2 linked regions of the Coturnix japonica genome follow. The protein of the gene in region 2 binds, or shares a complex with, the protein of the main gene of each other region. Links are inferred from orthologs where the notes say so. Each region holds a gene or a part of one and is shown on either strand. Other genes may lie near its edges.

Region 1 (3,688 bases), on a different chromosome or scaffold from region 2:
CCCAGCAGCCCCTCCCTGCAACTTCAAGTTTATTTGCATTGGAGGAAAGGATATGACATGAAAAGCAACATAAAAAGGCAGTGCAACCAATACATCCAGCCCGACTGCTCTTCCCACATGCCTGGAATGCTCCACGTTAAGGGTCTATTTCCAATGGATGTGTTTGGGGTGATGTTCGGTTCCCCTCACCCCTGGGATTGAAGCCATCGGTCCAAACACTCCAAGAGAGCCTCAAATCTGCTTCAGCCACAATATAGCTACGGCTGCAGATGCACTCAGACCTCTCATTTCATTGCCTAGATGGACTTAAACCCTTTTCCATCTTATCAATATTGAAAATAAATAACAGCTAGTGGTGACTCAGAGCACCTGCCCAGCACACAGCCACTGCCTGGCGCCCATATTTTCAGCTAAACAAAAGGAAAGGGGGGAGGAAAGCCAGGCCCCACCAGCAGCCCCTAAGCGTGCCCAGTAACATCACCAACCCCACGCAGGCTCAGAGCTCCCCCCATACAAAGGGCTTTGCTCATCAGAGGCAAACAAACAAACAGCAAAACACACCGAGCTCTGCTTTGGTTGGCGTTTCTCAATCCAAAGAGTTCCACTTGCACCCTCAGCCAGGCTCAGGTGAGGCCACCACAGCTGCGAGGCAGTGCCTGTTCAGGTACAGCCGGTATTTCCTAACACCCAGGACCTGCTGGGCTGCCTGCAGCAGAGCAGAGATCAAAACGCCGCCTGCACTCCTATCCACACTCATCTCTCATAGGATCATAGAATGGCCTGGGTTGAAAAGGCCCACAGTGTTCATCCAGTTCCAACCCCCTGCTATGTGCAGGGTCACCAACCAGGCTGCCCAGAGCCACATCCAGCCTTGAAAGCCTCTAAGGATGGGGCATCCACAGCCTCATTGGGCAATTCTGCTGCTCTGCATTGAGAAGCAGCACAGTGTTGTGGTGGAGCACTGTGGCTATTGCAGTGCAGGCAGAGATAACACTGATGCTTTCGGTCTCACCTGCAATCAGGTGCACTGCCTGCTGTGCTGCTCTGAGCATCATCTGCATTGCACTGTGGCCTTTAGGAAGCACGGCCAAGGCTTTCCTTCTGCAGCTCTTCATTTAATAGATGGGGACTTTCTTTCCCCATTGAGTGATGGAGACACAGATGGTACCGACCAGGCTCCTGACTCATAGAAAAGGTCTCTCTCCTATTGGACTAAGCAATTACATTTATCACTTGCACGCACTGAAATGAATCCAACCTTCCAAGTTCCTTCCTGTTTTCATGAAGCAAAAGAGACTGAACTTGATGACGTTTGTAAGAAGTTGCTTTCATTACAGCCCTGCTAAACAACCCCTGGTCCCATAAAAACAAGAAACGTTTCCACTAAAGAAAGAAGAAGAGAATAACAGTGAGCTGAGAGTAACTTACTGACATTGTGAACGCACACACACAATCACAGCTGAATCGTTAATGCTGCTACAGAGCAAACACGGCAGCCTTTAATCTGTGCAAGAGGGGAATCAATAAGTGCTGCAGAGCTCAGCACACAGTGATCCCGGCTGCTCTGAGCCCACAGCCACCAACGTTTTCACCATTCAAAATAAAGGAGACAAAAAAAAACCCCAAAACCTGATCAGGGCTGAAACACAACCCAAACCTGACCCAGTTTTAAACTCATGCCTCCATCCGAGCTGATCATGCAGAACTGCCATGCAGCCACGCTCAGACTAAGTGCAGATGGGATGGACACAAAACGAAGCTCAGTTTATGGTTTCAAATACAAACCATCCCGGTTAAAAGCTGGTTTGGAAACTCCAAATAAAAGCATTAGTGTGTCAGAGCACGACACGGAGCAGTTCAGTCCCTGGTTGGCAAAGCTCAAAATCTTCACAAAGCTCCTTACCCTGCGGCCTTCCCAGGGCTCAGCTCGTCCCTGGGGCCATGGAACACGAGGGTTAATGGGGTGAACACTCCACATACAGAACCTATTGATGTCAGGGAGTGCCATCCCTATACCAGCATCATCACCTCCATGGGAACACACAGCTGGGCCTTTGGGCATCAAAAGGTGTTTCTTTGGATGAATGGACCCTTCAATATTTGCATGTTTTAACATTAATCTTTCCCATAGCAGCACGATGTGAGCACTCTGGCGTAGGGAAGCGGCCATAGCAATATGGTGTGATGTCAGAGCACCATTCGGACACAGCAGCCAACGTCACTGATGTGAGTTACAAGAACTGCCCCAACGCTGACAGCTCCATGGACTCAATGCTGTGCCTCCATTCACACTTATGGCCTCAGTAACCCCAAAATGAAACACATCCCTACTTCCAGCACCCCACTAACACAGGGGGGGGCATTAGAGCGGCACAGAGCGAACCCAATCAGGTCCAACCAAGTACAGAACCAACAGACACGATGACAAACGCTTGCAGATGAAACAACAGCTGATAGAACGCTGTTATAAAGCCGTAGAGGGGCCCTTGGAGCTCGGTTCGGAACAGGAACAGCGAGGCAGGAATTCCCCCCGGCACAACCCGGCTGCGGAGCGGGCAGGAAGCGCTGACGGCCGGGCCGGGAAGCGCCGCTGTTGACACCGCCTCGGCCTCGGCCCTCCCCGCGGCCCGGGCTCCCAACTCGCTCCGTTCCAACCCCGGTCCCCGTCCCCACCGCCGTCCCGGTGCAGCTGAACACCCGGAGCCGCCCACCTCCCGACCCCACTCCGCTCTCTCCCTTCCCCCGCTCACCCTCCGCTCCGCTCGGCGTTCGGCCGCTGTACGCGGCGCCGTTCCGCTCCGCTCCGCCCTCAGCGCCGGCCGCGGCCCGGGGAGGGGCCAAGAGGGGCGGGCGGGGACCAGAGGGGCGGCCCGGAGGAGTTCAGGGAGGTGGAACGTCCCGTAGGGGCTGATAACAACCACGAACGTTGCACTATCGGGGCCACATTAGTAGCGCTGGGTGGGATGTGAGCGGTGGATCAGACAGGCAGGATGCGGCCCTGAGCTCTGTGTGTCCCTCGGTGCTGGGCAGGGCCCAAAGAATTCTGCTATTCTATGTCATAATCCCACGCAGCTCTTGTGAGGCGCCATCTGTTGTACTGTGTCCAGGTGTGGAGCCTTCAGTACAAGAAAGACATGGAGATTTTGTTAAGGGTCCAGAGGAGGGACAGGAAGATGATCAGGGGGCTGGAGCACCTCCCCTATGAGGACAGGCTGAGGGAGTTGGGTTTGTTCAGCCTGGAGAAGAGAAGGTTGCGGGGTGACCTCATTGCAGCCTTTCAATACCTGAAGGGAACTTACTCTTCCCTTAAACTCTTGGAAAGGGCTGACAATAGCAGGACATGGGGAAATGGTTTTAAGTTAAAAGAGGGAAGATTTAGGTTGGATGTTAGGGGGAAGTTCTTCACTAGGAGAGTGGTTAGGCCCTGGAACAGGCTGCCCAGGGAGGTTGTGGATGCCCCGTCCTTGGAGGTGTTCAAGGCCAGGATGGACGGGGCCATGGGCAACATGATCTAGTAAAGGTGTATGTTTGGTGGCCCTGCTGGGCAGGGGGGTTGGAACTACATGATCCTTGAGGTCCCTTCCAACCCGGGTCATTCCGTATGATTCTGTGATCTCCATGCGATCAGCAGCACGGCTCAAAGTCCCACTCCGGTCCTCTGCTGTAATCAAAAGTAAACAGTGCTTCA
Region 2 (3,647 bases):
CATTGGCTTGATGAAAGCTCTTAGGCAGGAGCTGATTTCCAGAAAGTTTTTTTCTTCTTCCCTCAGTCTTGTTTGCAGATTTCCCATTTCCAGCAAAACTCCCCTGACGTGAAGCGGCATGGGGCAATCAGAGAGCACCAGATGCATCATCTTGCTTTCCTCAAATGCCAGGGCAGGTCATCCCTGCTGTACAAAATACCAGTTTATCAGCAGATTCAAATCAACCCAGAAACACTGCCAAAGAAACATCCATCTCTTCGGTGTATGGGAAAAATAAGGCTCAAGTGCATCTATTAAAAAAATAGTAATAGACCTCTTGATTTGTAGTCTGTTAACTATCCCAGTAGAAGAAACTGTAGAAAAAGGCAATGTGGAGCTGTGTCCCTGCAGGGTAAGGACTGCAAACATCCTTAGCAGCTTGTTCTTAAATGGGGATGCGGATGATCCTGCTGGCACTGATCCTGTACACTGAGGCATTAAAAGCACAACTTCTGTTCCTTTCCCATCAATGGAGAGATTAAAGGAAGGGGAGCACAATCCTAAAAAACAGGCAGTCTTGTGGATGTTAATGTGCAAGAATTTATGTCCTCTGTATGGGATGCGCGGTGCAGAGATGGTTCGGAAGCACTCCGGTTGATTTTGGGTAAAGAATGTTGCAGCAGTTCAATGGAAGACAGTATCTGAGTGAAAGACATAAAATGAGAAGATGACATGTTAGAAAGAGCCATTTCTTTTCACCTAAGTCTTCAACATTCATTTCTTAGGGCTTTACCAGTATCCATAAGGGAGCAATGTACTACGTGGAGACTGAAAACAATAGGATTGTCCCAGTTTGAAGAATCCAACTCTGCCACAGAGTTTCATTGCTGGGAGGACATTCACTGGGCTTCAGGGGATAGACAAGTACTTCTCAGTTAAGAGTTCATCAATAAGGCAATCAAGAAGCAAGCATCTATGTACTCTGCAACAGCGCAGCAGGGAAAGAATGGCATCTTCCTCCTAATGGTCTCTTTAGAACCAAATTTAGAAAGAAGCCATCAAATAACAGCAGTTGTACTTAAATGTAACAGTAACATCTTAAAAAGTGCTGCAATTCAATTCCAGGTATTTTAACAGAAAAGGTCAAGTATCCTTTGTGGGGAAAAAAAATAGATAAAAATTTGCTACAAGAATTTAAATCCCCTCCCTGAATTTTGCTTGCTTGTACAAAGTTGTGGAAAAAAATAAGGAATGGTCTTGACAGCAAAGTGCTCTGAGAGCAGCGTGGTGTCCAACAATGCTTCAGTCAGGATGGATGTTATTTTAAAGTACTTTGAACCTGAATCCTCTATATCAGCATTAGGATCCGCTCAAGGGAGCTGGGTTATTAAAGGTGGACTTATGACCAAACAACACCAGGAAGCATGCTACACTTAATTCCTGCATCTACTCCCAGTTTCTAGACCTGTGTCCACTTAAGGTGTTCTGTGTGGTAATGGCTATTTATCAAATACTTACATGATGAAAAAAGCCACTTACTTGTGGAAACAAGGGTCTTTCTTCCCTAACTTTCTTCAAACAATCTGCTACGAGCCTCTTCATTGCTTTGGGGCAGTTCTTGTACAACTTGCTGAGATCTGGGGAAGCATATCCTCGGCCAACCATGAAAATAATCTAAAGAAGAACAGCCAGTAAGTAGCAGAGAACTCAAACCACAGGAGCTGTGTCACTCATTCAAAGCTCTGATGTCCCAAAGTCACTAAACATCAGTGAGTGCCAAAGCCCAGCACAGCAGCAGAGCCTTGTGCATTTGTCCAGATCAGTTAACGGAAACAACTGCCTTGCTTTTGTGTAACGTAGAACCTAATTAAATCAGAGCGACACAGTGGTTTATAATACTCCCAAGATGCAAACATTACTATAGTCTGAAAAGAACAGTTTTAAGTTCATGCTCTACAGAAGAAAGCTTTAAATAATGAATTAACTCTGCCCTAACATTTAATACTGCAACATGCAGCATGAAGTGGCTGTTTCTTACCTGGTCGCGGTTGTTTATGTGGGAGTAGGGCAGCTCTCCTGTCATGAGCTCATACAGTACGATTCCATAGGAGTAGACATCTGACTGAAAACTGAACGGATTACTGTCCTGCATCCGTATCACCTCTGGTGCCTTTACAAGGAGAAAAGCAATAAGCGAAAAGTGGTATTAACAAGCTAGGAAACAGAAAAGCAAACAGGAAAATGGAAAGCCAAGAGGAGTCAATCATTACTTAACAAAGGATGGGAACCTCAGGTTCCATCAGTGCTTTTCTACATCTTTCTTACTAAATGAGCAAGTGCACATACAGCGTATATGTAGATAGACATACAATAGCACTTCCAAAGAACCCTCAGAAACTTTCCTGTATGACTTGAGAACTTCCATAAAATGGAATATAAATGCAACATAAAATGACATCAATCTGCAGCAGTTCTGAGCTGCCTCAAAGCTTGCCAGATCAGCAAGCCTGCATGAAGAGATGCTGCCAGATCCTGAGCAGGGAGCAGAGGAGGAAGAGACAATGATGAAGACAGCCAGTGAAGACAGGGCTCACTCATCCCACAAAGCCTGTTGAGCAGATTCAAGGCAGCTGCTTCCCTTCCAGCTGAGAAGAGCCCTTCTGGGGAAAGGTGGGATGGCTACAGGAGAAAGGCTCTGCCCTTGGAACAGTTCCTTGCAGTTCTTCTGACAGCTCTTGTCAGCCTTTGCCATGTATGTTAGAACTCAAAAACTCAGGAGGAAACACTGCAGAACAGTGTCTACTTTGGGGCAGTTAAGTGCTCCATTCTTCAATTTTAACTTATCCTATAATTGGACTAAATGTCTGCATAGTGCTAACAACGTAGGTTGTCATTTAGATGTAAAGATCTGTTAATAATACTGAATTCAACCAACAAAACATGTATTAACTGAGTGAAAGCAAACTGTTTACACTGCAGTAAAATACTCTGCTCACCATCCACAAAATGGAACCAGTGGGTTGCTCCACCTGCTGCGATCCACTCCACCTGGATTTTACAGTTGCTAGACCAAAGTCTCCTATTTTCACTGTGAGGCCTTCATGAAGAAATATATCTAAAGGATTGTTAAGGAAATTCTATAGAGAATTTAAATGAACACATCTGAATTTTCTGACATGATTACAAAGTGACCAGTTAGGGTTATCAGGAATCCAAGTCAGCCATCCAGTATTGCTGGATACAACTTGGGATACAAGTTGTATCTCAGAGAAGTAATTTCATGGCATCCATACGTACAGAGCTCACAAAATGTAGGTATACAGTCTGTCTGCTTAATACTCTATGTTCCTTCTCAGGTTTAAATTAACATTTATGGCTTTATTTATGCCAGTCATCTCAGGATGTTTTATATTTATTAAAATCATAAGGGATACAGCATCGGACACATATGCACACATATCCCTCATCGAACAGAAAGCTTTTCTCCAATACACTACTTGGATAATAGAGACATTATAACATCACTACTAACACTATTCTAATTCACTAAGTCACATTTGGAAAATGACTGCAGCTTCTCTTATTGTCATCTTCATAACATCAGGTTGGTAGGTAAGCATATGCCTTTTTACGAAAGACCTTGTTAAAAGTAACTTCATATTCATCAA

Evidence for each region. The genes of interacting proteins can lie anywhere in the genome.
Region 1: the proteins of RAF1 (region 2) and RAP1A are in contact, whole or in part, in a crystal structure (PDB 3KUC), measured with the Homo sapiens proteins. The link is inferred for Coturnix japonica from reciprocal best matches to the Homo sapiens genes RAF1 and RAP1A. Residues at the interface, in NP_001341619.1 of Homo sapiens: Thr57, Arg59, Asn64, Lys65, Gln66, Arg67, Thr68, Val69, Val70, Lys84, Lys87, Val88, Arg89, Gly90; in NP_001010935.1 of Homo sapiens: Val21, Gln25, Ile27, Val29, Asp33, Pro34, Ile36, Glu37, Asp38, Ser39, Tyr40, Arg41.

The regions. Positions count from the first base shown.
Region 1 is NC_029541.1:3,373,838-3,377,525, reverse strand, and holds the start of RAP1A (ras-related protein Rap-1A), read right to left. Parts: upstream 2,872-3,688; 5' UTR 2,751-2,871; intron 1-2,750. UniProt on the Homo sapiens protein: Counteracts the mitogenic function of Ras, at least partly because it can interact with Ras GAPs and RAF in a competitive manner. Together with ITGB1BP1, regulates KRIT1 localization to microtubules and membranes.
Region 2 is NC_029527.1:3,320,098-3,323,744, forward strand, and holds part of RAF1 (RAF proto-oncogene serine/threonine-protein kinase), read right to left. Parts: intron 3,095-3,647; coding exon 2,976-3,094; intron 2,150-2,975; coding exon 2,018-2,149; intron 1,654-2,017; coding exon 1,519-1,653; intron 681-1,518; coding exon 540-680; 3' UTR 1-539. UniProt on the Homo sapiens protein: Serine/threonine-protein kinase that acts as a regulatory link between the membrane-associated Ras GTPases and the MAPK/ERK cascade, and this critical regulatory link functions as a switch determining cell fate decisions including proliferation, differentiation, apoptosis, survival and oncogenic transformation.